4 linked regions of the Schizosaccharomyces pombe genome follow. The gene in region 3 interacts genetically with the main gene of each other region. Each region holds a gene or a part of one and is shown on either strand. Other genes may lie near its edges. The genes, in order: lin1, SPOM_SPBC15C4.06C, SPOM_SPAC3H5.11 and cwf19.

Evidence for each region.
Region 1: mutations in SPOM_SPAC3H5.11 (region 3) and lin1 together harm fitness more than expected from each alone (negative genetic interaction), as found in Schizosaccharomyces pombe (one large-scale study listed by BioGRID).
Region 2: mutations in SPOM_SPAC3H5.11 (region 3) and SPOM_SPBC15C4.06C together harm fitness more than expected from each alone (negative genetic interaction), as found in Schizosaccharomyces pombe (one large-scale study listed by BioGRID).
Region 4: mutations in SPOM_SPAC3H5.11 (region 3) and cwf19 together harm fitness more than expected from each alone (negative genetic interaction), as found in Schizosaccharomyces pombe (one large-scale study listed by BioGRID).

The regions. Positions count from the first base shown.
Region 1 is NC_003423.3:1,524,165-1,531,621, forward strand, and holds lin1 (U5 snRNP complex subunit LIN1), read right to left. Parts: upstream 2,953-7,457; 5' UTR 2,802-2,952; coding exon 2,684-2,801; exon of another isoform or gene 2,638-2,683; coding exon 1,529-2,637; 3' UTR 1,413-1,528; downstream 1-1,412. Other genes in the region: chaperone, AAA family ATPase Rvb2, read left to right, coding at 1-1,341; protein Emc7, read left to right, coding at 3,742-4,311; pet2 (triose phosphate transmembrane transporter), read left to right, coding at 5,056-5,150, 5,213-6,467.
Region 2 is NC_003423.3:2,248,389-2,256,607, reverse strand, and holds SPOM_SPBC15C4.06C (ubiquitin-protein ligase E3), read left to right. Parts: upstream 1-2,897; 5' UTR 2,898-3,201; coding exon 3,202-4,872; 3' UTR 4,873-5,197; downstream 5,198-8,219. Other genes in the region: SAGA complex/transcription factor TFIID complex subunit Taf10, read right to left, coding at 759-1,406; dhx29 (ATP-dependent RNA/DNA helicase), read right to left, coding at 5,599-8,219.
Region 3 is NC_003424.3:3,409,858-3,418,630, reverse strand, and holds SPOM_SPAC3H5.11 (NAD/NADH kinase), read left to right. Parts: upstream 1-3,949; 5' UTR 3,950-4,134; coding exon 4,135-4,339; exon of another isoform or gene 4,340-4,392; coding exon 4,393-5,060; intron 5,061-5,110; coding exon 5,111-5,262; intron 5,263-5,335; coding exon 5,336-5,492; 3' UTR 5,493-5,577; coding exon of another isoform or gene 5,578-5,853; 3' UTR 5,854-5,899; coding exon of another isoform or gene 5,900-6,021; 3' UTR 6,022-6,061; coding exon of another isoform or gene 6,062-6,104; 3' UTR 6,105-6,362; downstream 6,363-8,773. Other genes in the region: protein hob2, read right to left, coding at 1-1,909; rpl3202 (60S ribosomal protein eL32), read left to right, coding at 2,590-2,973; protein new4, read right to left, coding at 5,578-5,853, 5,900-6,021, 6,062-6,104; rpl501 (60S ribosomal protein uL18), read right to left, coding at 6,796-7,680.
Region 4 is NC_003424.3:1,099,855-1,108,338, reverse strand, and holds cwf19 (protein Cwf19), read left to right. Parts: upstream 1-4,531; 5' UTR 4,532-4,591; coding exon 4,592-6,004; exon of another isoform or gene 6,005-6,048; coding exon 6,049-6,316; exon of another isoform or gene 6,317-6,359; coding exon 6,360-6,598; 3' UTR 6,599-6,654; downstream 6,655-8,484. Other genes in the region: nth1 (DNA endonuclease III), read left to right, coding at 499-1,566; Lsd1/2 complex PHD finger domain-containing protein Phf2, read right to left, coding at 1,810-2,086, 2,136-3,475; DNA recombination mediator Rad52 (previously Rad22), read left to right, coding at 6,802-8,211. UniProt on the Schizosaccharomyces pombe protein: Involved in mRNA splicing where it associates with cdc5 and the other cwf proteins as part of the spliceosome. Involved in mRNA splicing.

The sequences.
Region 1 (7,457 bases), on a different chromosome or scaffold from region 3:
CACTCCCATATTAAGGGAATAGGTCTCAATGATAATTTAGAGCCGAAGGAGTCAAGCCAAGGAATGGTAGGGCAAGTCAAGGCTCGCAGGGCTGCCGGTGTAATTCTCAAAATGATACAAGAAGGCAGGATAGCTGGAAGAGCCATATTGATGGCTGGACCCCCTTCAACTGGTAAAACTGCTATTGCAATGGGAATGGCTCAATCTTTAGGTAGTGACACACCATTTGTAACACTTTCTGCAAGTGAAGTGTACTCTTTGGAAATGTCGAAAACAGAAGCCCTGTTGCAAGCCTTGCGAAAAAGCATAGGTGTCCGTATTAAGGAGGAGACAGAAATTATTGAAGGAGAGGTTGTGGAAGTTCAAATTGATCGGTCTATTACTGGCGGTAATAAGCAAGGCAAGCTTACAATTCGCAGTACCGACATGGAAACGGTTTATGATTTAGGAACAAAGATGATTGATTCCCTCACAAAAGAAAAGGTTTTAGCTGGTGATGTTATTAGTATTGATAAGTCAGTGGGAAGAGTTACTAAGCTCGGTCGTTCATTCTCGAGGGCAAGGGATTATGATGCTATGGGAGCTGACACTCGGTTTGTTCAATGTCCTCAAGGAGAAATTCAAAAACGAAAGGAGGTAGTCCATACCGTCTCCTTACATGACATTGATGTTATTAATTCACGTACACAAGGATTCTTAGCTTTGTTCTCAGGTGATACTGGTGAGATTAAACCAGAAGTACGTGAACAAATTAACACCAAAGTTAGTGAGTGGAGAGAAGAAGGAAAAGCCGAAATAGTCCCTGGTGTACTTTTCGTTGATGAAGTTCATATGCTAGATATTGAGTGCTTTTCTTTTTTCAATCGCGCATTGGAAGATGACCTAGCTCCTATCGTTATTATGGCTTCTAATCGAGGAATTACTCGTATTCGAGGTACAAATTATCGTTCCCCTCATGGCATTCCAGTTGATTTGTTAGATCGTATGCTGATTATTTCTACATTGCCCTATTCCCATGAAGAGGTAAAAGAAATCTTGAAGATTCGCTGTCAAGAAGAAGATGTTGATATGGAGCCTTCAGCTTTAGATTACCTTTCCACTATTGGTCAGGAGACTAGTCTTCGCTACGCATTACTTCTTATATCTTCATCTAATCAGGTTGCTTTGAAGCGCAAAAGTGCTACGATTGAGGAGTCCGATATCCGACGTGTTTACGAATTATTTTTGGATCAAAAAAGAAGTGTTGAATATTTAGAGGAATACGGAAAGAATTACATAACCGAAAATGAGTGGTCGGCTTCAGGTGCACAAGATAATGCAGTTGCAATGCAGGAAGATTAAAAGCACTAAAGACGAATATTTTGTTATAGTTAAGAATATGAAAGTATTAAATAGCAAGTCTTTATAAAGGTTGCAAGACAAGTTTAATTTAGACTTATTTATCGAATTATAGTTTTCCGTTAATTCAAAGGTACAAGCTATAAGTTCTGTTATATAATGAAATAAAATAGTTTATTATCCACTTTGACTATTTCTTTAAAGAAACTACATCGCAAAAGCAGATATTGTTAGGATACATCCATTCATCCATATTTGCTAATTGTATAAATGCTGCATGCTTGGCATCCGTAAAATAACCTTCATTACTCCAAGCCTGTATTTGGCTTGCGGTATAAGGGCCGTACGTCTTATCGTCAAATTCCCACTTAAAGTTGTACTGTGAAGAATTTGAGTCGTCGTAACTAACAGGAGAAGACCATGAATTTGACGTGAGTTTTTGATAAATTCTTTGAAGAGATTCTCTAGTTTCCGAGTATATATCTTCCTTTCCAATTTTATCCTCTAGAAAAGTTAGACCAGCAGTTATAAGTTCTATTAATTTTTTCCGAAAAGCGTCAGCACTTTTCCTTTCAGGAGAAATGCCCTCTGCGGTATTATTTTTCTTTTTCTTATACGATTTTTTGTTACCACTTTGTCTCTGCAAAAATTCTAAAATACTTTCATCTCTCTCCATTCTTGCGATAAAAAACGATAACGCTTCAGGAACCGTGGAAAAAGGCAGTTTACTAAATTCTTCCAATTCTTGATTCCTTCTTCTGTTTTCCATTTCCTTACGCTTCTGCTCCGCTTCTCTGGCTGCTGCAATGCTTTTTTTATTAGAAACACTGCCATTGAGCCATGCATCATACTGAGACTCTGGGTCATAATTTTTTCGTATGAAATTACCATTTTCGTCAAAATCACCCTCCTCCATATCTTCTTTTAAGTTAAAGGACATTCGTTTTGGGCTTGAGGGAACTGATATCTCACTGCCTTCTTCATCCGCGTCGAGGTCGTTAGCCTGATTTGTATCTTCTTGGCCTTCTATATCTTCATATCTTAACTTTGAATACTTTCCGTTATCGTCCTCATCATCAGAATCGTCGTTCAAAACCTCTTTATTTCGCAAACCTTTATGTGCTAATCTTTCAGCATCGCCATTTTCAATGAAATCACGTCGCTTTTGCGCTTCATCATTTGGCAGAGTACGCTTCTCATCTTCCGAAGTATCAGAAAACATATCTTCCGATTGCCCTTCCTTCTTCTCTTTATTCAGAATTTGGTCTTCATCTTCTTCAGATTCAGATTCATAATATCCTGTGAATTGAATGTTAGACAGAAATCAACAAATGAATTTGCATACCCTCTTCTTTTGTCCTAGGACGTTTTCTCCCTACATTGCTTACATCGTATTCAAAAAAAACATCGTGAACATCACCCACTGTACTCGAATTGCCAGGGTTTCTGAGCGTACGCTTCATTGTTCACACAAAATGTAGTTGCAATTGCGAACTCGTTATGAGTGCAAGATTATTAAGTGTTAAATCTGAAACAATAGAAAAAATAAAATGATTATACAAAAATAAATATTACCAAAAAATAATGCACGACGAATAATAATCTCATCCTCATGCTATAGTATTTTTTTTACATGCAGTTATAAAATTACGTAGCTGAAAACATCTCTGTTAAAGAACGTTTAGCAAAATAAAGAGATGAAGCATTATCTACTGACAACGAATAAGTGATTGTGCGTTATACCAGTAGTATATTGATTATTGATTCTTTCTTCAAAATAAAAAACTACTGAAAATTAATCCTGTATGTACAAAACAAACGTGAAATTTTACAATTTCAAAATCATATAATAATATCGCCGTACGTAAGAACGGTATCATCCTGAGAGTGACATTGCATGTGAAACTTGGTATAGATTCGCTGTATAACAGTAAAATAAGACATCAAGCTCTCATTCAATTCAAAAAATTCTATTATGGAGTGACCTTTTTCCATTTAATTTGCATTTTATCTTTAAGATATCTGCATTGTTATCAAATATGTAATTATTTTTCTATTTACCTTACTATATAACAAGCTTCGTATAAGTGTGGTATTTGGAATCCCATAGTTTCTTATTTTTCGTTATCCTATTTACTGATAACTGTTGGAGCACGAAGTAAGGTCATTCATCTAAAAGCAAACACTGTAGTGACTTATCAAGTTCGGAAAACTGTTCTTGTTTATTAAATTGCGCATTTTCTTTCATCTATTATTTTCTTATTAAACCTCAAGATTCGTTTATTATCTGACCCTGTTTGAAAATTAATAATTGACATTCAATAGTCCCTGCTCAACCGTGGACATCCATTCTTTACTGTCTCACAATTTTTTGAAAGCTACCTTCTTTATCTATTAAAAAAAATGAAATTACACACATTTTTGCTGTTATCGGTTTTATGTTTTGCTGGTTGCATTCAGCAATCGTTACAAGCTGAAGTATATGGAAAAGTATTAACCAATACTATCCTTCCCAAGATTAATTTATTGTCTTATGATACCAGAGCCAGATTGATCTCTAGCAATAAAACGTTTGAGACAGTAGTGGAGAGAGATGGTAGTTTTACATTTCCCAATGTCCCTGATGAAATATATTTCTTACGGTTAGAAAGTATAGACTATGAATTCTCCGAATTTCACATCATAATCAATGAGTCGATCGTCTACCCTTACTATACTTCGCCTGCCGAAAAACGTCCAGCTAGTTCGACCGCTAAGAATACTAGTTATCCTATTAAAGTCCGTGCTGTTCTAAAACGCGATTATTTGAAGGAGCCAAGAAAGTTTTCCCTGATACGTTTATTAAAAAGCCCAATGATGTTGCTTTCCTTAGCTTCTGTTGTTCTTGTATTTATCCTTCCAAAACTTAACATTGAAGCCAAGGCATTGGAGCAAGCTAGGCTTGCAGAGGCTGCTGAGAAAAAAACTGCTTGATTAAGCTACCTATAATAGTTAGTGAAACTTATTTTACTTGGAATAGGAACTTGTCTTGCAGAAAAAAGGGAAAAAAGTGGACCACAATTGGTCAACATTTAGATTTCAGTTTTTTCTTTGACTCGATAATTATTTGTTAGTCAAAATTCTATTCGGGCATTAAATCATGCTCAAATGTAGAAAACTATATCTTCAGTAGATAGAACTCGTAGTCAATTAATAGAATTCGTTTGCTAAAAGAATTGGTACTAAATGGGAATTTCGAAAAAGATGAACAGTTGTTTAATTTATTTCGCTTATTGATTCAGTCATTCCCGTTTAGTAATATTAGCTTCTGAAAAATTACCTTCACCAAATTTTCTTTAAAGTCGCTAGTTTGTAAACTTGATGCCTTTAAATGCAACAAAAGGTAAATATAGATGCAAGGAAAATAATAGAAATTTAGTGTAAAATATTTTATCAATTTTTTTTATTTACTTTTCACACCAACCTTCTTCGTTTTTATTTATCCATATATCAACAACGAATTTGACAGTGTAATGTAGTTCACTATATGTTGACATTACGTAGCACGAAGCTAACCAAACCAAACCCAACCACTTTTTTTTTGCTAATTGTATATTTAATAGAATTAGTCCTCGTCCTAGTTTAAAAATTTCGTGCAATTTTCCTGTTTTTATGTGGTGTTAGCGAAGGACTTTTTATTTGATTTACGTTCTGAACTTCAACAAAGTGTATGGATCTATGGTTTTGAGAGAGCGACTTAGCCACATTTTATTCCATGAGAAGGTGGGATTTCTTCTTCTTTGCTTATTATGGTATATATCAAGTGCCGTTACGTATGTTTTTGTTGTGCCTTTATAAGGTGAAATGGTGGTCTGATTGATTCTAACTATTGTAGTAATACAACTTCAAAAAGTATTTTCAATGAATTACGCTGCCCGGTTACATTGACCTTCCTTCAATTTGGGTTCGTTGCATTTTTCAGTGCCGTTTGCCTTCTATTTAGAAAGCAATTTCTTGGTGGCACAGGTATTCAAAAACCCAGTAAATACGTTTTATATACGACTCTTCCATTAAGTATTTTCCAAATAGGAGGACACGTATTTGGAAGTTTGGCTACTACGAAAATTCCCGTCTCAACTGTACATACTGTAAAGGCATTATCCCCACTTTTCACTGTTTTAGCTTATCGCTTCATGTTTCGCCATGTTTACTCTGCCATGACTTACTTCTCCTTAGTGCCTCTAACATTTGGCGTTACCTTGGCCTGCTCTTTTGAACTGTCTGCTGATATAGTGGGGCTTTTGTACGCTCTAATCTCGACTTGCATTTTTGTCTCCCAAAATATTTTTGGCAGTAAAATATTTATGGAGGCAAAATCTCATAGCACTCACACGAAAAAACATTACAACAAACTAAATCTTTTACTTTATTCTTCAGGAGTCGCATTTATCGTTATGATTCCTGTATGGCTATACCAAGAAGGATTTGCCTACCTCCCTGAAGTCGGATCACCGGTTTTCCTAAATTTGATCTACAATGGTCTTTCTCATTTTTTTCAAAATATTCTGGCTTTTACCCTATTAAGCATAATTTCTCCTGTTGCATATTCCATAGCAAGTCTCATCAAGCGCATTTTCGTGATTGTAGTTTCCATCATTTGGTTTCAACAAGCTACAAATTTTACCCAAGGAAGTGGTATCTTTTTGACAGCTATCGGTCTCTGGTTGTATGATCGCAGTAAAAAGGGCAATTTATACGAGTCTTGTAAAGTAAAGGAGTTTGAAAAGGATGCACTTGAATTAGAAGAGCAAACAATGGAAGATGAAAAGTCCTATCCTTCTAGTGGAACACAATCACCATTTTATGGAAAGAATTTCCTTCCTCAAATCACCCCACGTCTTGATAGTGTGGTACCTCTTATTTCAGACTCCCCAATGACCCCTAATTCAGTCTATTCTAATGAAGGAGTTACTTCTTCTGTCTCGGGTAATGCTACACCTGCTTCTGTGCGTCAAAGTACGCAAAATGACTTTTCAAACTCCAACATACATGACAGGCGTTCCAGCTATACATTTCAATTAAACAATTTCAAAGCCCCTCAACCCTCTAGACTCTGGGCCACTGAAACTGTCCCAACATTGAAAATTTAATTTTATCAGGGAGCCGCAATATACTATGCCTTTATCAGATGCTTTCATTGCCCGTGTTTATCACTACATTAGTCAATCCTTGGCTCCGATCATCAGTATGGTTTTACACTTTTTGAGTTGCGGGATTTTCAAATACTTCATCATACATCTAAAAAATTATCGAATATCAAAGGGATAGAAAGAAGAAGAAATATATGAGCGTTATTGGTTGCTTGTTGAGGGCAAATTTAGCATTGTGTATAGTTGGACTTCTTATTAACTCAACACGAAAGCAACGTTAAACAATAAAAGCAAAATTAAATAAATAATCGACAGTTTTATTGTTTATCTTTGATAGTTAGGTTTTACACCATTCTTCTGTAAAACTTTTTATTTATTGCCGCAGTCTGTTTCTTCATTTCTTTGACTTTTATATTCTGACTTTGCAAACTTGCATACAAATTTACCTTAGCTTAGCTGTTCTTTTTTTTTTCTTCTACAGTCGTTTTATTCCTTTCTTTTCGCATTACATGATGATTGTTTGTTTCAATCATTATTACATACTCGATCCATAGTAATTTAGCACATGCTCGATGCTTATTTTTTATAATTGATACGAGTCATTGATCATTTACCTTACCACTGGTTGGTCCTTTTTTCCTCTCTTATATTATTTTTTCAACTCTTTTATCCAAGCTGGCATTGATTTGATCTGTTTTCTTCAAACATTAATTCCATAAAAAAAATTACACAAAAAATACTTGACAGGTTTGTAAATATTATCAATATTATTTGGTTTAAAAAGAAAGCAAAAGCTGGGATTCTCGCTCCACATAAGGTTTTTTTTTTTTTTAGTATAAAATGGTAATGTATAAAAACTGCGATTTCTACGCTCTTTAAACTGGATTAAAGATACAGTAATTTTTATTTCTAGTAGTCGTTGTACAGTATTGTAGAGGTAACTGAAAATGCTGGTAAATAAAATTAAGATACCAGTATTGTACTTACTAA
Region 2 (8,219 bases), on a different chromosome or scaffold from region 3:
ATCCTTTGAATAGGATAAACTATAATTTATTATAATCAATTTATTTAATTTTGGGTAATATTAGACTTAATTAAAAGAGGAATACCAAGTACTTTCCTTCCTACAATCAAAACAAGATGTTTGCTTGTAGGAACTGATAATCTTCCTTTGCCAGATGAAGGCAGTGATTTTTCTTGAGAAGTCTGTATTTGTTTAAGGTTTCAAGCATTACATTATTTGAAAGAGTACTGGTAACTGTAATTATATTAATTTTTACTTTATATACAATGCATATTATAATTAGAAGCATGTTAGGTTCTGACATACTATGAGGCAGCTGTCGACCGCGTAATTGACACTTTCAGAAGTGCTTTTCAAAATGCAGATAGTAGCATAACGAAGAAAACATTTACTACATCAATGTTGAATGAGAGTATCAGTGTAAAACAAATTCAGCAAGTGATAGCGAGAAAATAGTAACTATGATACATATGATAAATTTTATAAAATATAAAGATAAATAATCCCTCATATGAAAACTACTGCTGAAATGGATCGATATGAGAAAATGTTTTGAAATTATGATCATCAACAATGCCACGCCAAACCGAATGTGCTATCTTCAAAATACATAATAATTTCAAAAAAGTGTAAAAGGTTAGAATTAACAACAATTAGTAAACAAAAATTTTATAGGAAAATGAGATTTCAGAAACAAAGTTCCACTAATGCATTAAGTAAGGGTCTCACACAAGTGGCCTTAGTGGGATAAAAAGTCTTTAACGGAAGAAATCGGGCCTTTTCAAATTAATTCCATATTCATTAAGAGCGGCACTTAAGTCATCTACAGTGAGCACGGTTTTTCCACGGTCACCTCTTCTTCCGCTAGATCCAATCCCGGAAGCGCCTCCGGCTCCAAAATTCTGCGCACCAAACGTAGTTGAAGATGCATTGCTACTACCGGTTCGGATTTTAGAATATTGATAGGCGTCTTGAGCAACATCAGAAATAAATTTTTGAGCTGTAAGACCAAGAAGCTTTTTTAAGCGTGGGTCAACACATTTAAATCCAGATAAACTGAGGTAATAATCCAATAACACATCTGGAATTAAGGGAGAGTAATCATCCATTTGGGCCAAGAAATTTTCAAGTGTTTTGTCTTTGGCCATATCTCGCAATTCTAAATGCGGTTCTATAACATAATTCGAGCCATGCCTTTCTCTAGAATCATCGCTTTTGGGAGAATCCTCGTTATTTAAATGTGCAGGGGATTCTACACTCATTGGGGCGAGATTGTCACCAGTTGGCAGATTTGTGGAAGACGTTTCGGGTTGTTCATCAACACTCATCGAATTATTTCCATCTTCTGGTTCTTGCTTGGGCTGTTCAATATTTTCAGCTGGCTCATTATTGTTAATGTCACTCATTCTTTCTTTATTTGACCGATGTTGTAAAGCAAAGAATGTCTTTCTGCAACTTGATTCAAATCCGTGGTTCCTTGATTTATCGTTCGACTTATTGGAAATAATAGGAAATTTATTTCCCTAGCTTATGGACTTAACTTTTAATACTTTAATCCAGTGTTTCAAGAAACCACTAGGCCAACTAAAATAGGGATGGTGGAGGTGGACTATATTCTGTATTCGTGGTAAAGTAGCATTGTTATTTACGTATATAAGGGCTAAGATCGAAAAGTAAATAATTCCAATTCTTGGAATAATGCTAGTTGAATAATAGAAATTAATATATAAGATTAATTAACTTCTGGTAAAAAGTGTTGTTTAAAATCGGTATTATATAGAGTTCGGAGCGAAGTTGGTATCTACTACAATTTTTGCTTCTATAAGCAAATGTTCAGTTTAGAGTTGAATGGCAGCCTTCTTGGACTTGAACATATGTATTCAAAAGTAATTATTATTCTCAAACTACAATGTTATTCATTTGCTGAGATGAGCATTTTAAAGTTTGCGCAAACATGACTTCCAGTTAATATGTGTTTAAAACAAATAAAAAAATTTACTACGCAAAGAAAGGATATTTGAGATTAATTTGGTGCACATTTTTTATTTCTCATAACAAACTACATAATCCATTTCCCCATACTTTACCAATAATGTATTGCTAAGCCAGATCAAAGCTACATTAGATATCACTACTAATTATTGTTATTTTCATTTCAAAACTGTCGGATCCATACTACTGATCTTTAATGATCAGGACGAGTAAAACATCTTTAGGAAAATACAATTATTGAAGAAATATCTCAACCGAACAAACTACCCTTTCCTAGTTCAGTTGTAAGTTAATACAGTAAAATATAAAATTATATAGTATATTATATCTTAGCCTTCTTAAACAAATATGTAACCGCTGTACTAAACGAACTCCATAAAATTATACTAAATTACGAGGTAGCATATCACAATAATTATATCCTTATACTAGTTTACAAAGTATACTCAAACAACATTAAATCCTATAACGTATTCCTAGTAAATTGCTTCTTATGTTTAAGGAGGATATCTTATTGTTTAATTGATCGCTAAGCGATCCTTTTTTTATTTATTTATTATAGTTCTCTCTGATCATTAATTCTCCAGCTATGCTTACCTTTTTGAAGTATCACTTCTTCGTTTTTTTATTTCTTATAATTACCATTTATTATTATTTAGTTTCTCACACCTGTTTAAAGCGCTTGTCGAATCACCAAACACAAATAAGCTGTTTTATTTCACGATTGTTTTTCTCGCCCTGCACTTTATGCTTTGTTTGTTTCATAGTTTTTCCTTCATTAAAAAACTTCTTCACTGAAGTATACTGCTCATAGTGAAAATATAATAACAATTGCTTTCCACATGTATATCACATGTATTGTGTACTATGTACGCAATATGTCTCAAGATGTTCATTACTTAGCCACCACCAATTTGTGGTTTTCAAGCTTGAGCTAGTATAAGTTAAAAGAATCACACTTTTTACTTTCTAATTTTTTGAAATTTCCTTTAAAAAATTTCATTAATTGTGTTCCACAATTCCTGCTTTAGAGATATCACCACTCAACGTCTGTTTATTGATTGAAAGCTTACCTTTCAATTACCATTAAATTTGATTCATTATTTAGAAAGATTGGTATCAAAGCAGGTTTGTTTTTTGGTAATCTTGAAACCTCCTGTTTCCTAGTTCTTTGTGTTTCTTCGTGCCTTAAAGTTTGTTTAGGTTCTTATGCATCTGTGTAATAACCAGTTGCTTGATCATCTGGATTGCAATGCAGTTTACAGAGGCTATGTTTCACAAGAGAATAAGGTAAAGAGGAGAAAGCGGCTGTTTAATGCAATTCGTAAACTATGGAATGAAAGAAGGCGATATCGAATGCCAAAGGACGAAAGTATCTCGCCAACTCCAATCTCTTATTCATTTAGATCATTAAGAAGAGGCCATACTAGTGGGCATGCTAGTGAACACACTTCTTCTTCAAGATCTAGTCATGATGAATCAGATTCTATGTCCAGTTCTAGTGAATCAGACTCGGATTCTGTTTCCAGTGAATCAAATCCCAAATCTTATTCAGATTCTAGTACTAGTTCTGCAAGGTCGTCCTCTACTTCTGGTTCAATCTCCTTGTATGATGATTATTACCCTGCTTATTCCAGCAATGCTCCAAATACTGCAATATCTAATTATGTTAGCTCTGGTCTTTCATATTACGGAAATTCATCTATTATTATGAATGCTGTCGAATACAATCAGTTCTTTCCGCTAACCATAACTACTCTTATTGTTAAAAACAACAAGAATGTTGTTTCAAATCTTCCAAAAAATGTCTCATTTTACTTCCACTCTGACAACACGGTCCTTTTGAATGAGTATTACAAAAGCTTGTCTAAACTGAAGAATAATTTTCGTGGAATTATATATAAAACTACTCCTTATGGTAGCTGCAATGACACCGAGTCACTTCAAGTTGATACCAAGGGAAGCGTATGGTTTAGAGATGTTTCTAATATGGGAAGTTCTGGCTTAATCGCATTCGCGCCGTTTGACTATTGTGCTCCAATGCATGTATTGCAGGCTGTCCAGGATAGAGCAAAGGCAATACTATTTTATAATGCAAGCACTGCTAGTAATTCATTAACCAATTTTGACCACTTTGAAGATGCTGTAGATATGATTACCTTTGAAACATTACCAATGGCACTCATATCTTACGAAAACGGCATCGCTTTTGAAAAGATTCTCAACGAATACTCGGCTTCTTCTTTAAATTCGGTGCAGGATGGTGGAGCATTAGTCGAATATTTTGGAAACATTGATGCTACGGCCCGTTTGGGCGTTATCATCAGCAAGGAACCAAAGCTACTTGGCCTCTATATATTCATTGGTGTGTTATTGGGTTTAATCGGTGTCATAGGCCTTTTTATTTGCCTTCACTTTTCTGGTGCAATGAATGGATTTTATAGACTCTTAAATCGTCATGGAATTCCTGTTCAAGAAAGAATTGTGAATATTGGACCAAACAAACCAGAAAATCGTGTTACTAAAGAAATGCTCGATACTTTGCCCGTTAGAATGTTTTCGGGGCCTCATCTTGCCAATCCTAATGATGAGTTGGTTTATGAAAAGGATTGGAAATTAGACAAATCAGAAAGTTTTGATGGACAGGGAAATGTGGTTACTACAGCCGAAAGAGGGAGTAAGTATTTCGATCAGAGGGAGTGTACTATTTGCTTGTGTGAGTATTCAGAAGAAAGTCCTCTTTATCGAGAACTGCCATGCCATCACATCTTTCATCCGGCTTGCATTGATCCTTATTTATTAAAAAATTCGGATCTTTGTCCCCTATGTAAACAGTCAGTTACAAACATGTTGGAAAATGCTTCCGAGGACAATGTTTAAACTGCATATTTATGAATTTTCTCCATTGGTTGAGTAATTCCTGTACTTCTACTCATAAGGATAATTTTTTTTATAATCTATATTAGCATATTTTGTTCGACTCTCATTCATTTACGTTATAATATTTTGCTTGTCTTTATACGCATACGCATACTCATACTTATTGTTCAGTTCTTCCTACGACGAAGAAAACTTACGCTTCCTTAAGTTCATAATTTTCTTGCATCTTTTAATGGGCTAATTATCTATTTCTCATCGTTCTAATCTATTATTTGTGTTATCGTATGAATTCTATAGTACTATATAAAAGCTTACTATACATGTCATTGTTTACTATAAAAAGTTTAATACACATGTTGCTTGCTAGTTTATGATGAAGGTACAAAAAAACTATTAAGTATTTTACAAATTAGCCGGTCTAATGCTAAATTGCATATGTAAATATTTTTTTCTTTTCATTTAGAGACCTATTTTGATATTCTAAGAAAACGATATACAGTTATAATAATTGACATTTTTGGATTTGAGAAAATTAAATACTCTGAATTGTGTCTCATAAAATAGAAAAGCCATCAGTTTCTGCAATGAAGCCTTAGATAACTCCATTTTACACATTTATGCTCAACCAACATAATTCTTACATTTTCCAAATGGAAAGAAAATTTGCCTGTCATTAAGCAGATATGTGAAAACCAACTTTCTGATATTTCATTTTTGATACTTTCATTAATCTTTGAGACGTTTCTGAAATTTGGTTCCGTAATTTAACCGTGAAACTATGTTAACAATAACCTCAAGATGGGAATTCAATAAGCGTTTATCAGGTTCAGCAAAAAATTCGTTTAGAGAAGTTTCAATAAAGCGACGTAAAATACTTAAAGATGCCGAAACGTAAACATTTTCAAAATATACTGTAAAGTTGTCAAGCTTTGCTTGTCCAACTGATACTCTATTTTCGACTTTAAGGCCGCACATCATTAGAAGCTGGCGAAGAGTAACCATAGTAGTTTCATTAACATACTCACTAGCTCGAGTGGAAGACATCATGTTCGTGTAAGCAACGAATTTGGACGGCATGTTAGGTAACTCAGACCTATTATTCACCGATACATCTAAAATTCTAACACGCTTGTTGGTACTCAAGGTTGACCACTGTCTTTTTTCGTAATCATACCTTAAAATGTTTGGATACAGAGATGCAGCAATTACGCCACACAGAATTTCTGCATTTCCTGAGTTAATATCATGCTCTTTGGGGATAACGGCAAAACGCCGGCATATTGAACGTTTTAGGCTTTTGCAAGTATCAACATCCGAAGCGCCTAAAAGTTTCATATCCTTCAACTCAGAAAGCAGTTGGATTTTTAGTGATTCTGTCATACTTAAAGCCTCTAAATTTAAGTACTTTTCTTTGGCAAAAGAATCTTCATCAGGGCCTAAAGGTGAAAGGCAAATCTCTCGCCAAGCGCAGTAAGCATAATACATCAAAACTAAATCACTCCTGGTATTCTCCTTAGCGAATGATAATCGGGCTTTGTTTGCAGAAAATTCATTGTCAACAGATTTCCTAAAAGGTGAACCGATTGTTAACATGGCTACTATTGAAGAAGCGGCATCTACACATTTGTAGAAGCATCCCAAAACCAAGATTTTTCCTAAATTTGCATCAACAGGTAATTGCGACAAAAATTTGCCGAGTTTTGTTAATTTTTCGTTTTCAGAGAGCGCTCCCACTTGATGAAGCTTTTCTAAAGCACGAATAATATTGGTAGAGGAAGGTGGATCTAACGCCTTGCCTAAGACATCTTGTACATCACCCATTTGGCACATCTTTACTCGCAAAACAACTTCTTGCAGATTAAGTCTCAGAATTTCAGGTGTCTGGTAAGACAAAAATTGGGTATCATGTTTGAATTTTGAGAACAAATGATAGCAGATACCTTCCTGAACACGACCAGCACGTCCACTACGTTGCTTGGCATTGGCCTTAGATACAAATGTATCAGTTAACCGAGAAAGATGTCTTCTACTATTATAACGCATTTCCCTATGTACTCCTGTATCAATCACACAAGTGACATCTGGAATAGTAACACCAGTTTCAGCGATATTTGTCGACAATACAATCTTGCGGCACCCTTTGGGAGGGATGTTAAAAACGGACTGTTGCTGCGCAGAGGATAGTGTAGAGTGTAGCATGTATATACAGAACTTACGATGATTTCGAAACATAGGCATATCTTCGATAAGAGATTTTACACGAAGGATCTCCGAAATACCAGGTAAGAATACTAATACACACTTACTGAATTTCGGATCTCCTTCAGTGAATATATACTTTAAGAGATAAACGATTAAACCATAGTTAATGGCTTTCTCGTTATACCAAGCTGGAATTAGGTTCATTTCAACAATGGCATCCTCCGCAGATTTGTTTGAGATGCTCGCATCTTGTTGGTCGGTTTCATAGTCATCTTCCTCTATAACATCCTGTCCGGCAGCGTTACCGAACGACTTATCATTTCCAAACTGGGAAAGTATATCTTCTAAATAAAATCTATGCACTGGATATGTTTTACCAGGTATTGTGATTAAATTACTTCCTTCAAAGTATAACTGAAACTTTTCGGCGTTTAAAGTTGCACTCATAATTATAATCTTAAGATGAGGATGTTGTTTAAGTAAATGAAGTACATGAATTAAAAGAAGATCCGAGTCAATGCTGCGCTCATGAACTTCATCAATAATCAGATGAGTCACAGACTCTATTTCGTTTCCAACTTCTAGGAGACGCAGAAATGTACCTGTAGTAACATAAGTTAAAGGTGTTAAAGGCGTACATTTGGAATCCAGACGAACAGAATAACCAACAAGCTCATGCGAACGAGCTGAAGGAGGATTGCCGCCAAGTTCCTGAGAAACACGATTAGCTAACGATATGGCACTGATCCTTCGAGGTTCTGTAACATAAATTTTGACTGCTTTTCCATTTTTTGTAGAATTTTCCAACAGAAAAGCAGGAATTTGCGTACTTTTACCGCAACCTGTGTCTCCTGATATAATTAAGAGTTGACTATTATTGACAGCATCAATAATTGTCTCTCTAAACATCGTAGCTGGCAACTGATTACGGAAAACCTTAAATTTTTCGGCTGATTCACTTTCAAGTTGTTGTCGCCATTTGTTTAGTAAAGTCTCAGGTGGCCTTTCAAATCCAGAAAACTTGCCAATATTATCCATAGGGGCCATGAGTTTAGAAGTGGTAGCGCTTGTTGGGGTCTCCAATTCTTTGCTCTTTATAATGGAATCCAACTTCTCGGAAATCTTTGCATCTTCTGCTAAGTCAG
Region 3 (8,773 bases):
GCAGTGAGTGAACCTCAAGTTGAATATGCTTTAACCATTTGGGTATTCTAAAAAGAAGCGGTTCCACTAATTTGGTACGTGGCTTGCGAGGGCCGACTTGTTCAGATTTGATCTTTGTGAGAATAATAAACTTTTTCAACGAGTTAATGACCTCTTCTTCTTCAATTCGTATTTGAAAATCACGAAAAAACATATTTAACGATCCGTGATCGTTATTACAAATATAACCTAATGAGAAGGTAATGAGGTCGGATGTGTTGATTAGCCATTTTTTGTTTTTCGGATTATGGTAAAAAACTTTGTTAGAGCTTAAGCGTAGAGAAGACTCAATTTCAAATATATGCTCAGAGGATGGAGAATACTTGATGTCCAAAAACATAGAAGAAAGATTAGCAACTAGCATTCCAGGAAAGTCGGAATCGGACTTTGATGCAATCAAAAAACGCAAAGCAGGTTCGTACAAAGATACAGAAAATTTCATGTAAGGGAAGTATTGATAAGGAAACTTTGGCTTCTTTCTTGAAGTCGAATCGTGTTTTTTTGGGAAACAAGACAAAACATCGTGTAGCAACTCTAGGCGAAGATCCAATGATGGAGAGGTCAATGTACTGTTTACTCGTAAAATACTATTTTGAAGTTGATGAAGATCACTAGCATCACGAGCGTACTCGGCCAATGCTGAAGTCAGACACGTTATAGTTACCAAAGGAATATTAAGGAGCACGTGTGGTGAATGGCCAGGAGTGATACTTTCGACGTTGAAAGACAAAGCAGAGGCTAAAATTTGATGAACACATGCCTCTACGGGGAAAAACATTCTGTGGGAAGGATTCTTTTTGTTCAGTAAAATCAAATTCAGTCCAAAATCACTACCATTTAAGATATAGGTGGCTCCACATCCCGTTACATTTCTCTTCCAAAGCTTCAATGTACCGATCTGGATTTGAGCTTCCTGTAACTTTAATAAGGCCGCTTCAACATTATCCTTCATCACATGAACTTTTCCAGAGGAGGAGGAGGAGGAAGAATGATTTCCTCCGGAAGAATTTGAATTTAACAAATGCTCAAAAAGTGGAGTATCTAGATCTATATATAACACACCCACTTTGATGGAAGAACGAAGACGCAGAATCGTGTCAGGAACGTTTGATTTATCTAAAGAGTAATAGGTTTGTAAGCTTAAGTCCAAATAATCGGTAATCTGTTGACTGCTCTGCCGGCGGTCAATGTAAACCAGGTTTGCCAAGCGAATGCTACAAATTACGCAGGAGGATACAAGTTCGGGATCAGACGGATTTTCATATCCAACGACATTATTGGTTTCAGGACGCATTTCCATCGAAAGACTGCCCAACTCGAATGTTCCTACAGAGGGAAATGTCAATTGAGATTCTTGGATACTAATGTGAAGCCATTTCATCCAAGATTTGTGAAGAAACTGAATCCATTTTTGCTCCACATTGCGAAGTAAGTTAGACATGTAAACGGCATGACAAAATTTCTCCTCCGTTTTTTCTTCCTCACGCTTTGCTTTAAACACCAATCGAGATCTTTGGTTCTCATTCTTACCAGCCGATTGTGCATCATTAGCACTGGAAAGTGATGGAGTATAAATCAAGCCTTTGGTTACAATGCGCAGTAAATAGGGCTTGGAAGTAGAAGGACGATGCAGACGAAGTGCCACATACGAGATGAAAACCGAGTCTCCATTACGGAACGTGTGTCGTAGGCCATACACGGAGAAGAATCCAAAATTTGTAAAGGGCCATCCCAGCACGTATGACAGTACAAAAAGAACCAAATGAAAAAGGAAACCTGTCGCTATCACCACCCAAACGAATGAAGTGTTTTGCGAGGACGACCACATCGTTGATGGATTAAGCAAGGAAAAAGGAAACAACGGGTTCATCAAGTATGTAAACACATAGAGATTACTATAAGTTTGTCGTTTTTCCTTTAATGAAAAGGTAAGGAAATTGCAGAAACGGAGAGGAGGGAGGAGAAAGGAAACTGTGTAAAATAAAGCTGGTGTAACGAAGAAATCCAACTGAGCGGGAAGAGGCGGGAAGGTACACGCTATGTCAGTGATCAGCGAGAGCGGTAGTCGCTTGACTAAACAAGTTTAGGGATTAACGGCCACGTGGATCGGAAATTGAAGTCGCTTGAGGAAACCGTTAAATATTATATCGATATGTAGCGCATACATTTTTAAGTTTATTATCAAAGTAGAGGGATGTGTGCGTTATTTTTCAATTTGTTAAGTATGTTTTGCGTATCTTACAAAAAGCTCGGTATTTAAAGGTAGTGAAACAATTTCGCGTTACGGAGGAAACATTGAAGAAAAGCAATCAGTTTGATATGCAAAGCTAAATACGGGATATTACAGAAATGAAAATGAAGAATGATTAGTTTTATAATGTTATTGATCATTTAAATAGAGATATTATTAACTTCTTTTTCAACATGTCAAATCTGGGAACTATAGCGCAAAAAATGAAAACTCAGCTACCATCCCCATAAAAAGCAGTCACGTTCGTTCCAAAACACACTCACAACACAAGTGCTAACTTTTCCACCCACACAACAGAAATGGCTGCTGTCAATATCATCAAGAAGCGCACCAAGCCCTTCAAGCGCCATCAGTCTGACCGCTTCAAGCGTGTTGGAGAATCATGGAGAAAGCCCAGAGGTATTGATAGTTGTGTTCGTCGTCGTTTCCGTGGCACCATTTCCATGCCCAAGATTGGTTATGGAAATAACAAGAAGACCAGATACTGCATGCCTAATGGATTGAAGGCTTTCCTAGTCCGTAACGTTTCAGATGTTGAGCTCTTGTTGATGCATAACAAGACTTATGCTGCTGAGATTGCTGGTAACGTCTCTGCTCGTAAGCGTGTTGAAATTGTTGAAAAGGCTCGTGCTCTCGGTGTAAAGGTCACCAATGCCGGTGCTAAGGTTCGCTCTCAGGAGTAAATTAGAATCACGACTTAGTACAGTTAATGAAAGTACTTTGGTATTGGAAAAAAACTCTTTGTATAATCGTTGATAACTTTTAGTTTATTAAGCGAAATTTCCCTTTCACAGTTTAATTTAAAAAGTTTCTCACTTTTAAAAAAAATGGTTAAACGTGACGCAGTCGTTTTCATTTAGCTTTTCTGCATTCGATAAGATGAACGAAGAGTTCTGAAACAGATCATTTGGCTCTCAAACCGTTTAAACGTATATCATTAATATTTTATTTAATTGAGAACTATTCTTATATTTCGTTCAAACACATCAAATATGTATTCAAACGCATCTACTCGGGACAAATTTTTTCAGATCTGTTTAAGCTTATCTCTGCAAATGTATATCTAGACTATTCGAACATGAAGCTGTCTACTTTAACTTATAACTTCAAACCTCATCTTGTCCATTTAAACCTTCAACTTCAAACTTTTTTCTTTTCATCCTTGGTTACATTGTATATTTTTTAACGTTGTCTTTGGTTTTGATTTAAAGTACCAAAGATCAATTAGAAAGTGTTTCAGTGGATGACAACATTTCATTTTTCAAAAACTTTACATATTTTAGCGCTGATCTGAGCTGGAGGACGCTGGATTTGCAGGTTTTTTGGATTCCTACATAATTTTTTCGATAAATGTTTTGCCATCGAGCACTCTTATATCCTAATCCATTAAACTGGTTTGTTCTTGCTTGACATAAATTCTCTTTTTTATTACTCAAAACTGCTTTACTAAGCAGATTAGGAGGGTCGTCAGCCCCTCAAACATTAAAAGGAGATTGTAGTCAGTGTTGATCTTATACTTTAATTAAATAGACTATTCTTACGTATAAAACACTGATAATCATTGTCTTATTTTCTCAAACTAAGTATTTACCGAAATAATTTACGCATTATTATCATACGTACGCATCCACCACTTTCCGTAAGACCTTAAGTCTCTATATAGAAAGAGTATATATACATACACATACTGGCAGCAGCCATTTTAGCTTTTTACAGAGCTTACACATATATTTTGGCTTTATTTTATTAATTTGAAAAAGAATAATATTTATTTGTTGGGGTGTGATTCAATTCAATTAAACATTTAGATACTTTTTGTTGGCGACCCAGCAGTTTTTGCATTCATGGCGGAATTCGATGATTCATGCTTACCAACAAATCCCACAACGGAAAATGATTATCACGGAAGCTTTCCATATTGCTCCGTTCATGCACAGTTGTATCCATACGTTTCAGATTGCATGGTGATGCACAGGAAGGCACCGATCAACGAGCAGGAGGCTTTACGAGACGTAGTTTGGGAAACTCGTACAATTAATAAAAAACTTCGTAAGCAAACATTGATATTGACATTCCCGGATATTTGCTAATACGACGATTAGATGTAACTCCCATCAAGCCCAACATCACTTCGATTTTGCTCGTTTCCAAGCCTGGAGACGAAGAAGTAGAAGAAAAACTCAAAGAGTTTGTATATTGGTTAATTTCTTTAGATAACATAACCGTTTTTATCCAAAAAAGTATGGAGGACCTCTTTGAAAAAACTGAAAAGATTCAGTATTGGACAACACTGCTATGTACCAAGCATTCTCAGCTTTTTGATCTTGTATTGACACTGGGCGGCGACGGAACTGTTTTGTATACTAGTCGACTATTTCAACGAACTGTACCGCCAATCATGCCTTTTGCAATGGGTACATTGGGTTTTCTTACTCATTTCGATGTCAAAAAGTACAAGACTTCCATCTTGGAGATTTGTAATGAAATGTACGTCCACCTTCGTACACGATTTGAGTGCCGTGTAATGAAGAAAAAGAATCGTACACAATGGATCAATATCGATGAGCACTTGTCTCAGTCACTTCATGCCACAGACACGGAAACACACACATTTACTGATTCCTTAGTCGTGCTCAATGAAGTTGTCATCGATAGGGGTCCCAACACTGCTATGAGTGACATTATGCTTTACGTAGATTCCAAATATCTCACTACCGTCAAAGCAGATGGTTTATGTATTTCTACTCCTACTGGTTCCACGGCCTATTCAGTAAGCCACAATTCCATTAAATTTTTTATATTGTACTAACTATATACTAGCTTGCCGCTGGTGGTTCCTTATGTCATCCAGATATTTCCGTTATGATTGTTAGTCCTATATGTGCACACTCCCTTAGTTTACGACCCATTCACGTACCAGATTCTATGGCTCTTCACGTTGTAATTCCTCAGGATGCCCAACAAAGTAGTTGGTAAGTTAATGAAATAGTGCTCCGCTTCAGATGTTTTCTATAAAATATGTTTTTTTATCTAACATTTTCTTAGGATTTCCTTCGATGGCAGGAATCGAACTGAACTGCTACCAGGCGATTATTTGACTGTCCGCATTTCGCGGTATCCATTTCCTACAGTTCATTCGACAGAAGAAGACGCGGACTGGTTTGAAAGCATAAAACGTACATTGATGTGGAACCAAAATTAGTATATTACACTTAAAAATTGATTCATTAGTTTTCCTAGAATATAACGAATTTTCATTAGATACAAAAATTTTCCTTTAGTCGTTTTTATTTCTTTGTTTTTCTTGTTTCTATTGCAACCATTTCATCTTGATCAATGCTCGCGGATTCTTCATGTTCTAAGTCCGCTTGTGCCGCACGACTTAATTTTTCGTGCAGAAAGTCTGTTAGTGTCACTTCGTTTCCCTTCTCCCGATCCCTTGAATTGTAAAGATTCATTAAATGCTCCAATGTTCCCTGGTTTTCATTTGCCTGAATTTCGCTTTCCGTATCTTCTGATATGGAGTTCTCTGGTTGTTTTTCGAGCACACCTAACGCTAAATCCTGAAATTTTTTTAGTCACATAATTCATCTTTTTCCTGAAACTTACCATTTCTATATAATTACTCTCATCTGACAAATTTTGAACGTCCTGTTGTGAATCCGGATGTTCTAGTAGCGTTTGATTTGCTTTCTCCAATTCTGGCAAAAATGACTTGCACTGGTCCAAGACTAATATATTAAAATGGCTAATCTTATAATTCAAACATACGTGATGATCTGGTAATTTCAAATTTGGGAATTTGTTTGTCCATTGAATTTTTAATATTTACGAAGTTAGGGAAAGTTCATATGACTTCAAAGAAGTAAATGCGGATTATATTTGAACTTTAATTATTTTTTTTTAATTGCCTTTCTTTTTAACTTTTAAGAATAGTCGAAGAGATTTACTTTTGACTAACTGAGGTGGCCAAGGGTGTTGCAAGGAAAATATGCAGATTTCGGACAAGAAAATATTAATTGAGTTTTGTCTCACAAACAATAAAATAGTACTCTATTTTGTTAACCAAAAAAAACTTCTGATAAGTGCTTTATGATAATGGCTTTATTATTGTAGTCAAGTAGGTGTACTTGTTCAGTGTTTCAGTCAGTCAAAACATCGACGAATGTAAATGCGGAATTCAATATAGCTTTCAGTTTAACTGCTGCATATTGCAATTATTATTATAATATTTCATCTTTGAAAACAATCCATTTCCTAACAATATGAACTTGCAAAATCTTATTTTGGGAAAGACGATATACCTTATACGATGTAGAGCTATTGACAAAAACTTGTTGACCTAATTAATTTGCAAGCTAATTGATTTTACAAAGTTATCGTCATGCAAAACTACCAAAAACGTGTGATAAAATCTAAAAATCATGTACAGAGCTACAAATCTACTGAAATCTATAAATTTCGGAAAAGAACAGGACATACTATTAAAATGGTTTAAGATATACTTAAGCACGACCAGCCTCGATAACCTTGGCGTTGAAACGTTCCTTGCGCTCTTCAGCAGTGAGTTTCCTTTGAGTATGCTTGAGTGACTCAGCCTTGAAAGCAGCAGCATCCTTACCAGACTTTTGGAAAGAGGGATCCTCACGGATCTTGGCATAGGCCTCAGCATAGATGTCCTCAAGTTGATCACTCTCAATACCATCAGCGATCAAACCAGAGAATTGCTTTTGATAACGCTCTTCATCATCATCAATAAGCATCTCCATGTATTCAGCAACATGGCCACCATAGATATATTTGCGGAGAGTCTCATCATCCAACTCCTCGGTTTCAATATCGAAACCAGGGAAACGGTTGGGAGAGTGGGGAATAAACAATCCACCATCAGAAGCACCCTTCATGGCACCAAAGACACGAGAACCGGTAGAAGTACGCTTCAAACCAACATCCAAGAAAACCTTGAAAGGACGAGGACCATCCTCGATGGCCTCGGTAAGCTCAAATTCACCTTCGGGTTCAGTGACACCCTCATATTTGTCAGCGAGGCCAACCTTGGCAAGAGCACGACGAGCGACCAAAAGACCGGTAGCGTAGGCGGCAGTCCAGTTGGCCAAACCCCATTTGATACCGTAGCGAGGGAGCTCAGAAGAGTGAGCATGAGCAAGAACATAGTCACCGTTTACTCTAGAAGAAACTATTTGGCATGTGACGAAACGGTTGGAGAAACGAACGACCAAACGGTACTTGGGAGCATTGTACTTGTTCTTGGCCTGGGCAATCAAACGCTTACGAGCGTAATAATCGGTTTTACCCTCACGACGACGACGATATTTCGTCTGGTAACGTGAGAAGTATGGGCTGCTCTTGACTGCTTTGATGAAGGGCATTTTGGCAGTGTGTCGAATTGCTATTTCGTGTCATATGAAAAGTTTCGAACGCTTGTGACTGTCTATTTGAAAAATAAATAACGATGAGATGTTATATGTTGTTAACGACGAGATGTTCATTCGTTAGTCAGATTTAATGAAATTTCAATGGTTTCGTTATCTATTGTAAACAAAAGCTAAAAAGGTAGAAATAAAATAGCTAAAAAACCGTTGAGCGGTACACCAGACTGAAATAAGGATTTTATTTTTTGCATTTTTTTTAAAGATTTTTTTTTTTTATCTTATGTTGATTGCGGTGGATTTCACCAATTTCCTACATAAGCTAAAATGGATTTTCTTGACAGTTACGGTAAAGTTGGCTATCTAAGTCTTTGATGCAATTTAACCTAATGTCAACTAGAAAAGAAATAAATATTATTTATGTCATATTCTATTCACTTTTTACAGGTTTTTGTTTCGCAATGACTGAATGTCCTTATCCCGATGAGAAAATAGACTTTAGTTGCAAACGAATTCATTAGAATGTAAGACATGTCAAAATACTTTCTGATGATATATATACATTTTACACATATTTGCTGTAGAATATAATTGTTCGTCAATGAAGCAGTAGCTTTAAAGCATTTTGCACCTTTGAATCATATGTATAATTAAATAGATCAGTAGAGGAAGTAAATTTAGTTAAATACTTAATATACATTCTTACTTATGATATGTTAGGAATACATGGCCAGGGTTATTTAGACTGTTTTAAAGCAGCTTAAATGAAGTGTGAAATAATTTCCTTTATCTGCATACCAATATGGGGAACAAAAAAAAAAAAAAATTTAAAATTAAAAAAATATAATAAATACAGAAAAACCATAATGAAAGATGTCATTGAGAAAAAAATAAAATAAAATACATAAAAATATTAACTTCTGATATGTTAAAATGACTACTTCCTATCTTTAGAAATTTCCAACACATCTCTCTTTTACCATGTCAAATAATTACCTTTCGGAAATTCTGTTAAGTAAATAAATAAAAAAGCAAGATGATTCAAAAGCCGGCTGGATTTTTATAAACAGTGCAGCAAAACTTTTGGATATCA
Region 4 (8,484 bases), 2.3 Mb from region 3:
AATTAATAATACTGTCTTACAGGATAATTTGCCCTATAGCTGTAGTACTGCTGTAAAAATCATTTGTTTCCATAATACTAGCAATTCGTGATCTTTAATTAATCTAATTTTTGTTTTTTTTTTAAACTCTACTTTCCTCCCTTCTGTATGATGGAGGACCTAAAGTAATGTCTCCCATAGCATTCTGATGATTCTTAAGCTGACTTTTTGAAAAAGAAGCAGTAAAATATAATGAGTGTTTGTTTCTTAATGCGTAGGAGAATTTCGCCTTGGCATATATATGGCTTAGTTAAAAAATTATTTCTTTTATAAAATTGAGAAACTCCAAGTCAGACTATTACCGCATTGTATTCAAAACAAATCACTTATAAATTTTAATATTTTTGCGCTCACCTGCGTTGTTTCTTGGATGTAATATCGCTAAAGTTCAGTAAATGAGTTGTTGAAGAAAATAAAATCTTTAGCCAAGACTGCAGACAAATTTGTATTTGTTAAGCAATGAGTAAAGACTACGGAACTCCTCCTGAGAACTGGAGGGAGGTTTACGATGAAATTTGTAAAATGAAAGCCAAGGTCGTAGCGCCTGTAGACGTTCAGGGTTGTCATACATTAGGAGAACGTAATGATCCAAAAAAATTTCGATTTCAAACACTGGTGGCATTGATGCTTTCTAGCCAAACAAAAGATATAGTACTGGGTCCTACCATGCGAAACTTAAAAGAAAAATTAGCTGGAGGACTTTGTTTAGAAGATATCCAAAATATTGATGAAGTTTCTCTAAATAAACTAATCGAGAAAGTTGGTTTTCATAACCGAAAAACCATTTATTTGAAACAAATGGCACGTATTTTATCAGAAAAGTTCCAAGGAGATATTCCGGACACCGTAGAAGACCTAATGACTCTCCCAGGTGTGGGGCCTAAAATGGGATATCTATGTATGAGTATTGCATGGAATAAAACTGTTGGAATTGGAGTAGATGTTCACGTACATCGTATATGTAATCTTCTTCATTGGTGTAATACGAAAACTGAAGAACAGACTAGAGCTGCTTTGCAAAGCTGGCTGCCTAAGGAATTATGGTTTGAGCTGAACCATACACTTGTCGGTTTTGGGCAAACAATCTGTTTACCAAGAGGAAGGCGCTGTGATATGTGTACTTTATCTTCTAAGGGCTTGTGTCCTAGCGCCTTTAAAGAAAAAAGTGGCATCACAATAACTAAGAGAAAAGTCAAAACGATTAAAAGAGTCAAAAAAAGACCTGCTTCTGAGTCACCTCCTCTATCTCCACTCTCCCTTCCTACAGATGATTTGTATTACCAAAGCATCGAAGATAAATCACTTATAAAACTTGAGGACTTGGACCCTGTTGATAGTATATCACACATGAATGAACCTTTGAAAAAAGAACCAGCCGCTGATATTGATGTAGATCAGAAGCCACCTGTCGCATTCCATTCAACTACAAAAGAAACTAGGTCACTGCGCAGGTCAAAGCGAGTTGCAAAAAAATCATCCCAGTATTTCTCCCAACAAAGTTTACAAGATATTGAAGATCTGGTTTAATTTATTTTTAGGACCGTAAATTTTGGACAACATAAATCTGTTATTTATTTACATGAATTACTCAAAATTATTTATTCTTTACAACTCCGTCTTTAAACATATTCAAGAACCTTTTGCTACTGACTGTATAGTTATAATATCCTCTACCTTTACTTTTTAATAATTTTTTTAAATCTTGGAATAAATTGAAATCATTAATGTTGTTATACCCTTCAACAAACAATGCAGAATGTAAGATACTCGTTAAATACTACTAAGAACAATTGGAGTTTCGTCGAACATATAATAAGTACAAAAGTTTTCGGTTAAATCCTCTGTGTGAGGCGTATACAGCATCCAATCGATAGGAATGGGGCCGGTTATAGATATGTCAGGGCGCACTGATGGTCGATCGGCATCAAACGTTCTGTTCAGTTCATAGCTGCTACCCCTCGCATCACGTAAAACACGGTTTTTACGGACCAGTCTGTTTAAGCTTCGAGTTATGTTCGAATTTTTAATTTTTCTATTCGAGTATTTACTAGAATATTAGTAATTGACGATGTCAGGAAAATATATAGAAAACTTACGCTTGAATAGTGTTAGTGATAGTAGAAAAAGAAACAGCAGCAGGGAAAGATTCTAAAACTTGTAAAACTATTTCATCTTCATTGCTATATTCTTGTAAGTATTCATCTATGGTAGGAATTTTTTCACTCTCCATGTATTGCTTATCCACTTCAACTGGTTCGGTCGAAGGTAAGGACGTCGAATGCTTGGTTGTTTTCGATTGTGATTCTGTTCCATTATTTAGACTTAGATACTGATCTCCCGTTACAGGTTCATTCATAGTAGCTGTAAAGGCAGACCTTTTGCTTTGGAGCTCTTGGACAATAGTGGAAGTTTTAGGACTATAGAACGGGATGTCGGGATGTAATTGCTCACAGAATAATAGGATGTCAACCAGTTGGGAGATCGGAAGACTTAAAAGATAAGACTTTTTCTCTTCCGAAGACAGATTTAGTTCTCGTGCCGTAGTTCCAGTTACGAGAGGCGCTTGCTTTTTTCTCCTAATGCAATCATCACAAAACCATTCTCCATTGGGGGAATCTAAAAGTTCATCAGAAATATAGGGTTCATGACAAAGTTGATGGAATGGAGTGTTACAACCATCACAGAAAACGATGCGATTTTTTGGTGGAGATTGAAGTCGTTGACAAACCGAACATTTCATAGCTAATGCGACCACAGGTCGACGACCTGGGCCACGTCGTCTAGTAGGTAATTTTACAAGGGGATCGAAATGATTAGGGCGATGCACTTTTCTTCCTGATTTTGTTTTGACACCTTCCAAATTAAATTGCTCTTCCCTACCATCTTCAGTAGAAAAGAGGGCGTCAGCGGTGTTGTCACGTTCAATAGCCAAACTGGCAGGCCATGATCTTTTCCGAGCAATGTTCATAGCAATTGACATAGGAGGTAATGGCGATGAACTTGCAGGAACATTTGGGGGTAACGCAGATTTTGTTTGGGAATCAGCACTTCTATGATGCGCATAATTAGATGAAGATGCGTCTTCAGTGAAAGGTGCCTGTTCGCTTTTTGCATCGGTTTCCTGATTTTTACTAGATTCTATTTCTTTAGCAACATCATCATTTTTGTACGAACCGAAAGCACCTGACTCCTTGTTTGGCTCGTGAAAGTGTTGGAACTGATTTTCCAAATGCATGTTTGAATTCACGTTAGGATTTTGTATATCCTGAAAGGCTTGATCTATTAGCACAGAGCCTCCATTTTGATTAGATTCCTCCCCCTCAAACATCGTTGGATGCAAATCATTGGGAAATCGACGACTACCGTCGAATTGAAAAGGATATGATGCCGCTTCAAAAGAACCGCCATCGTCGTCATAGTACGATGAATTCGGCATTAGGTTTTAAATCATTCATATGCTCATGTAAAAAACAAATGAAAAAATGAAGCAAATGGCAAAAAATGCGAATGTGTAAGTTCAACACGCGTGTTTGGAATTTAGGTGAGATTTAACGCAACTTATAAATCGTTTGCTGCTGTTACTCCAATTATGTTTTGCTAGCGAAATGAGATTGATCATCACTATATCTCGCTTATTCACTTCTCACTACAACTCACTGTCTAGTCATATATAAATACTGCACGTATCCATGAAGAGCTGAAATCTCACATTTATTAGAGCTTTTTTATTTTTAATTTTGTTAAATTTAATTATTCATGCATTAACTAGTCATAGCTATAAATATGAATGAAAATTTGGTCTTTCCTTTGTTTATATTTCCTAGATGGCCTAACAGCTATAATTGATTGAACTTGTATGCTATTAAAGGCGATAAACAGACTTCTTTAGTACTTTGCTAAAGAAAATATAATTGCAATGATCCAATTACACTGGAAATACAGGTATAAAAAATCGTCACAGTTTGGAAACAAACAATGCTTTTTTTTCTGTGGCTGTTGTGTAGCTTTGCTAGTATCATAAACTCATTGTACACTAGCGCAAGACACACTATACAGTAGTTAGCGCGAGGTATTTTATTATTCTTTCCAACTTATTTGTAATGAAGTTCAAATAAACAATGGGTAATTTAGTACTACTAAAGTCCTTGCGTTATTTAAAAGGTTTTTGTTTGAAGTTAGTGGTATATATTTTGGAATCCTAAAGTTATTGTATCGCCTTTCACTGTCAATGTGGAATACTGCAAAGGCCGATACTCCTTCTTTCAAACTTAATTGTTTCACTTTCTTTTCTTTCCATTTCAACGCAATATTTTACAATTTTTTTTAATTTAAAAGAGAATTCTGATCATTGTCTAAACTAAACTCCTGGCAAAACTATCATTTGCGTTGCTTGTTTAGATCTGCATAGTGCCTGAACCACTTGACTTAACGAATGTACTACTACCATCGTTAAGTTACAATAAAAACATTATTTCCTTTTTCCCACCATTTTGCCTCTAATTATTGTTAAAAATTATTTATTTCATGAATTAATATTAAAATAACGTCCATTATGGAAAAGGAAAAGCTTACAAATAGGACCAGTACTCACAAATTCAATGAAACTGACAGAGAAACAAATCACTCTAGAAGGCATCGTCACCACCACTCTAGGCATCGTGAGAGCAAGCATGGACGACATGATCGCAGTGAAAGGCCAAGCTCTAGAGAAGCAGGTGACCGAAGTAGGCATGAAAGATTTAGTAAAGAGCCATTGGAGGTAAAGAAACTTCCTGTTGAAAATGAATACTTTGACTCCAAATTCGCTTCTGCTTCTTCCATGCCATCCTCCAAAGACAATCCACAGAATAATGACTTTACTAATTCATTGCAAGGTTTGGATTTTGGTACGTTCGGTTCGCGTATACAAAGAGAACCTATTGACCGAAAGTCCAATAAGCCTGGTGAAATTTTTGTTGGTGCAACATTACAGAATGAGAGTTCGACGAGTACAGAACATAAAGATATAGAACAGCTTGAAACCGAAATTAATGAGTCAGGAATTAATTACAAAATTGGTGATAATGGCTCTCGATGGCGTATGATGAAGCTCAAACGCGTATTTGACATGGCTCAAGACCAACGACGCCCCGTTGAAGAAGTAGCTCTGGAACGTTATGGTTCATTGAAAGAATTTGATTTTGCCTTGGAAGAAAGAGATGAGTTAGAGCTTCGAAAACGAACTCGAAAAGTTCAGAAAGAAGTTCCTACTGGCGAATTATATGAAAAACGATGTGCTGATGAATTTAAGACTAGAAAAGATTCTGGTAATGGCGCTACATACTACAAAGTAATACCTGACCCTTCTGTAAATAAAGATACTCCCACTGAAAGCGATTTGAATAGATTAAAAGCTGATTTGTTACGTGCTCAACTTAAAAAGGATCCTAACTATGAGTCTTTAGAAAGGGAATATCAGAAAGCTTGTGATGACTTCGAAAACTCTTTACACCCTTCGGAAAATTCTAATTCGCAAGCAACCATACCATCAAAAAAAAGAAACTTCGACGATCCTACTATTGATGAGATGGTACAGGAAGAAAAATTGTTGAATAAACAACGGAAATACGGCCAGAATTATGAATACGCAAAGCAGATTGCAAAGGATAAAACTTATTCTAACAATCTGGATTATTTGGACGAAAATGCAGGGAAACTTTCTAATCGAATGAAGCGCGGAGACGTCAGTCTAGCTCAAATTAGTAGTGGTGGGGATCTTAAAAAAATTAATCATGTTTTGGACACTTGTCCTCTTTGCCTAAATTATGAAACACAACCTTTGGCACCAGTAATATCTTTAAGTCATCGTGCTTATGTTTCTTTACCAACTCAACCCGAATTAGCTAAATATCATTGTTTAATTGTTCCTACAGGACATCGGATAAATACCCTCAGCTGTGATGAGGATGAATGGGATGAAATCAGAGTATGTTAATATAGTAAAAGGAAATAACTAACAAACCTTTTTAGAATTTTATGAAATGCATCGCCCTAATGTTTGATTCCATGAATCTTGGTGTTATTTTTTATGAAAACGCGCCTTCACCACAAAGATATATGCACACAGCTATTGAGTGTATTCCAGTCTCTAAAAGGATCCTCTCACTTGCACCTGCTTACTTCCGTGAAGCTTTGTCTACTTCTGACGAGGAGTGGTCTCAACATCGAAAAATTATTGATACATTAGAAGGTTCGAAGAAGTATGGAAAATGGGCTTTTCGAAAAATGATGGTTAAGGGTATGTTTGGAAAATCGTAATCATTTATTTTACTAATGATTAGAATTGGGTTATTTTCATGTTTGGTTCAGTATTGATGGTGGCTACGGGCATGTCGTGGAAGACGAGAAGGCATGGGGGAGGCACGATCAAGTTCCTAGGCAGGTATTTGCCAGTATGCTAAACCTTCCTCCTGAAGTAATCAGAAGGAAAGGTTCTTGGACAGGTAAAAAAGATCCACGCGAAGATATGTTTCGCAGTCGTTTTGAAAAATTCGATTGGACCAAGGGATTAATTGATTAGTAATTACGAAAATCCTTTAATTCAAATAAAATTTTGTTTTTATTTTTGTATCTACATTCTTTAAGTAATATTCATTACTGATGATTTGTAAGATCTTTATTTTCATTAAGTGGTTACTCGCTATGCTACCTTATCTTTCTTTATTACTTGGTACCTGTCCATGTGCACACAGCTAATATACTGCTTCATATAAGCTAGAAGGGATGTCTTTTGAGCAAAAACAGCATGTAGCATCAGAAGACCAGGGCCATTTTAACACAGCGTATTCTCATGAAGAGTTTAACTTTCTTCAAAGCTCCCTAACTCGAAAGCTTGGACCTGAGTACGTTTCAAGAAGGTCAGGTCCTGGGGGTTTTTCAGTCAGTTATATTGAGTCTTGGAAAGCAATTGAGCTTGCGAACGAAATTTTTGGATTTAATGGGTGGTCTTCGTCGATACGCAGCATTAATGTTGACTTTATGGACGAAAATAAGGAAAATGGACGTATCAGTCTTGGCTTGAGCGTGATTGTTCGCGTGACAATCAAAGATGGTGCCTATCATGAAGATATTGGATACGGTTCTATTGATAATTGCCGTGGAAAGGCTTCAGCGTTTGAGAAATGCAAGAAAGAGGGCACTACAGATGCCTTAAAACGCGCTCTACGAAATTTTGGAAACAGTTTAGGAAATTGCATGTATGACAAATACTATCTTAGAGAAGTTGGAAAAATGAAACCACCCACTTATCACTTTGATAGCGGTGACTTGTTCCGTAAAACAGATCCTGCAGCGAGAGAGTCTTTCATAAAAAAACAGAAAACATTAAATAGCACGAGGACTGTTAACAATCAACCTCTGGTTAACAAGGGAGAACAATTAGCTCCTCGTAGAGCTGCAGAATTAAATGACGAACAGACAAGAGAAATTGAAATGTATGCAGACGAAGAGCTAGACAATATTTTTGTAGAGGATGATATAATTGCTCATTTAGCAGTAGCAGAGGACACAGCCCATCCTGCTGCTAATAACCACCATTCTGAAAAAGCTGGCACTCAAATAAATAACAAAGATAAAGGTTCACACAATTCAGCTAAACCAGTGCAGAGAAGCCACACCTATCCTGTCGCTGTTCCACAAAATACCAGTGATTCCGTTGGCAATGCTGTGACTGACACTTCCCCAAAAACGCTTTTCGACCCACTTAAGCCAAATACTGGTACACCTTCTCCAAAGTTTATTAGTGCACGGGCCGCAGCCGCAGCCGAAGGAGTTGTTTCAGCTCCCTTCACGAACAACTTTAATCCTCGTCTCGACAGCCCTTCTATTAGGAAAACCTCAATAATCGATCATTCTAAATCATTACCTGTACAGAGGGCATCGGTTTTACCTATAATTAAGCAATCTAGCCAAACAAGCCCGGTTTCTAACAACTCTATGATACGTGACTCTGAATCGATTATTAACGAAAGAAAAGAAAACATTGGACTTATTGGAGTTAAGCGTTCTTTACATGACTCAACGACTTCTCATAATAAAAGTGATCTTATGAGAACAAATTCTGATCCTCAGTCGGCAATGAGGTCGCGAGAAAACTACGATGCTACGGTGGATAAGAAAGCCAAAAAAGGATAAAAGTAATGAGGCAAAATGTGATGATTGGCAACTTGTTTTTTACCAAGTATTTTCTGTTTTATGACTAATGATTTGTTTAAACGGTAGATCTTGCGTTTACGCACTTACTACTACTAGATTGGATATCTCATTTTTTGGGGACTTTTATTAACCCAATTTTATCTATGTAATAATTGTCTGAATATTCAATTGCTATCCGGCAAAAGGCTGCCTGCCACCTTGATCCTCTTTCCGCCAATAATGCCGCCTTAAAGTTCGTAACAAATCTCCCAT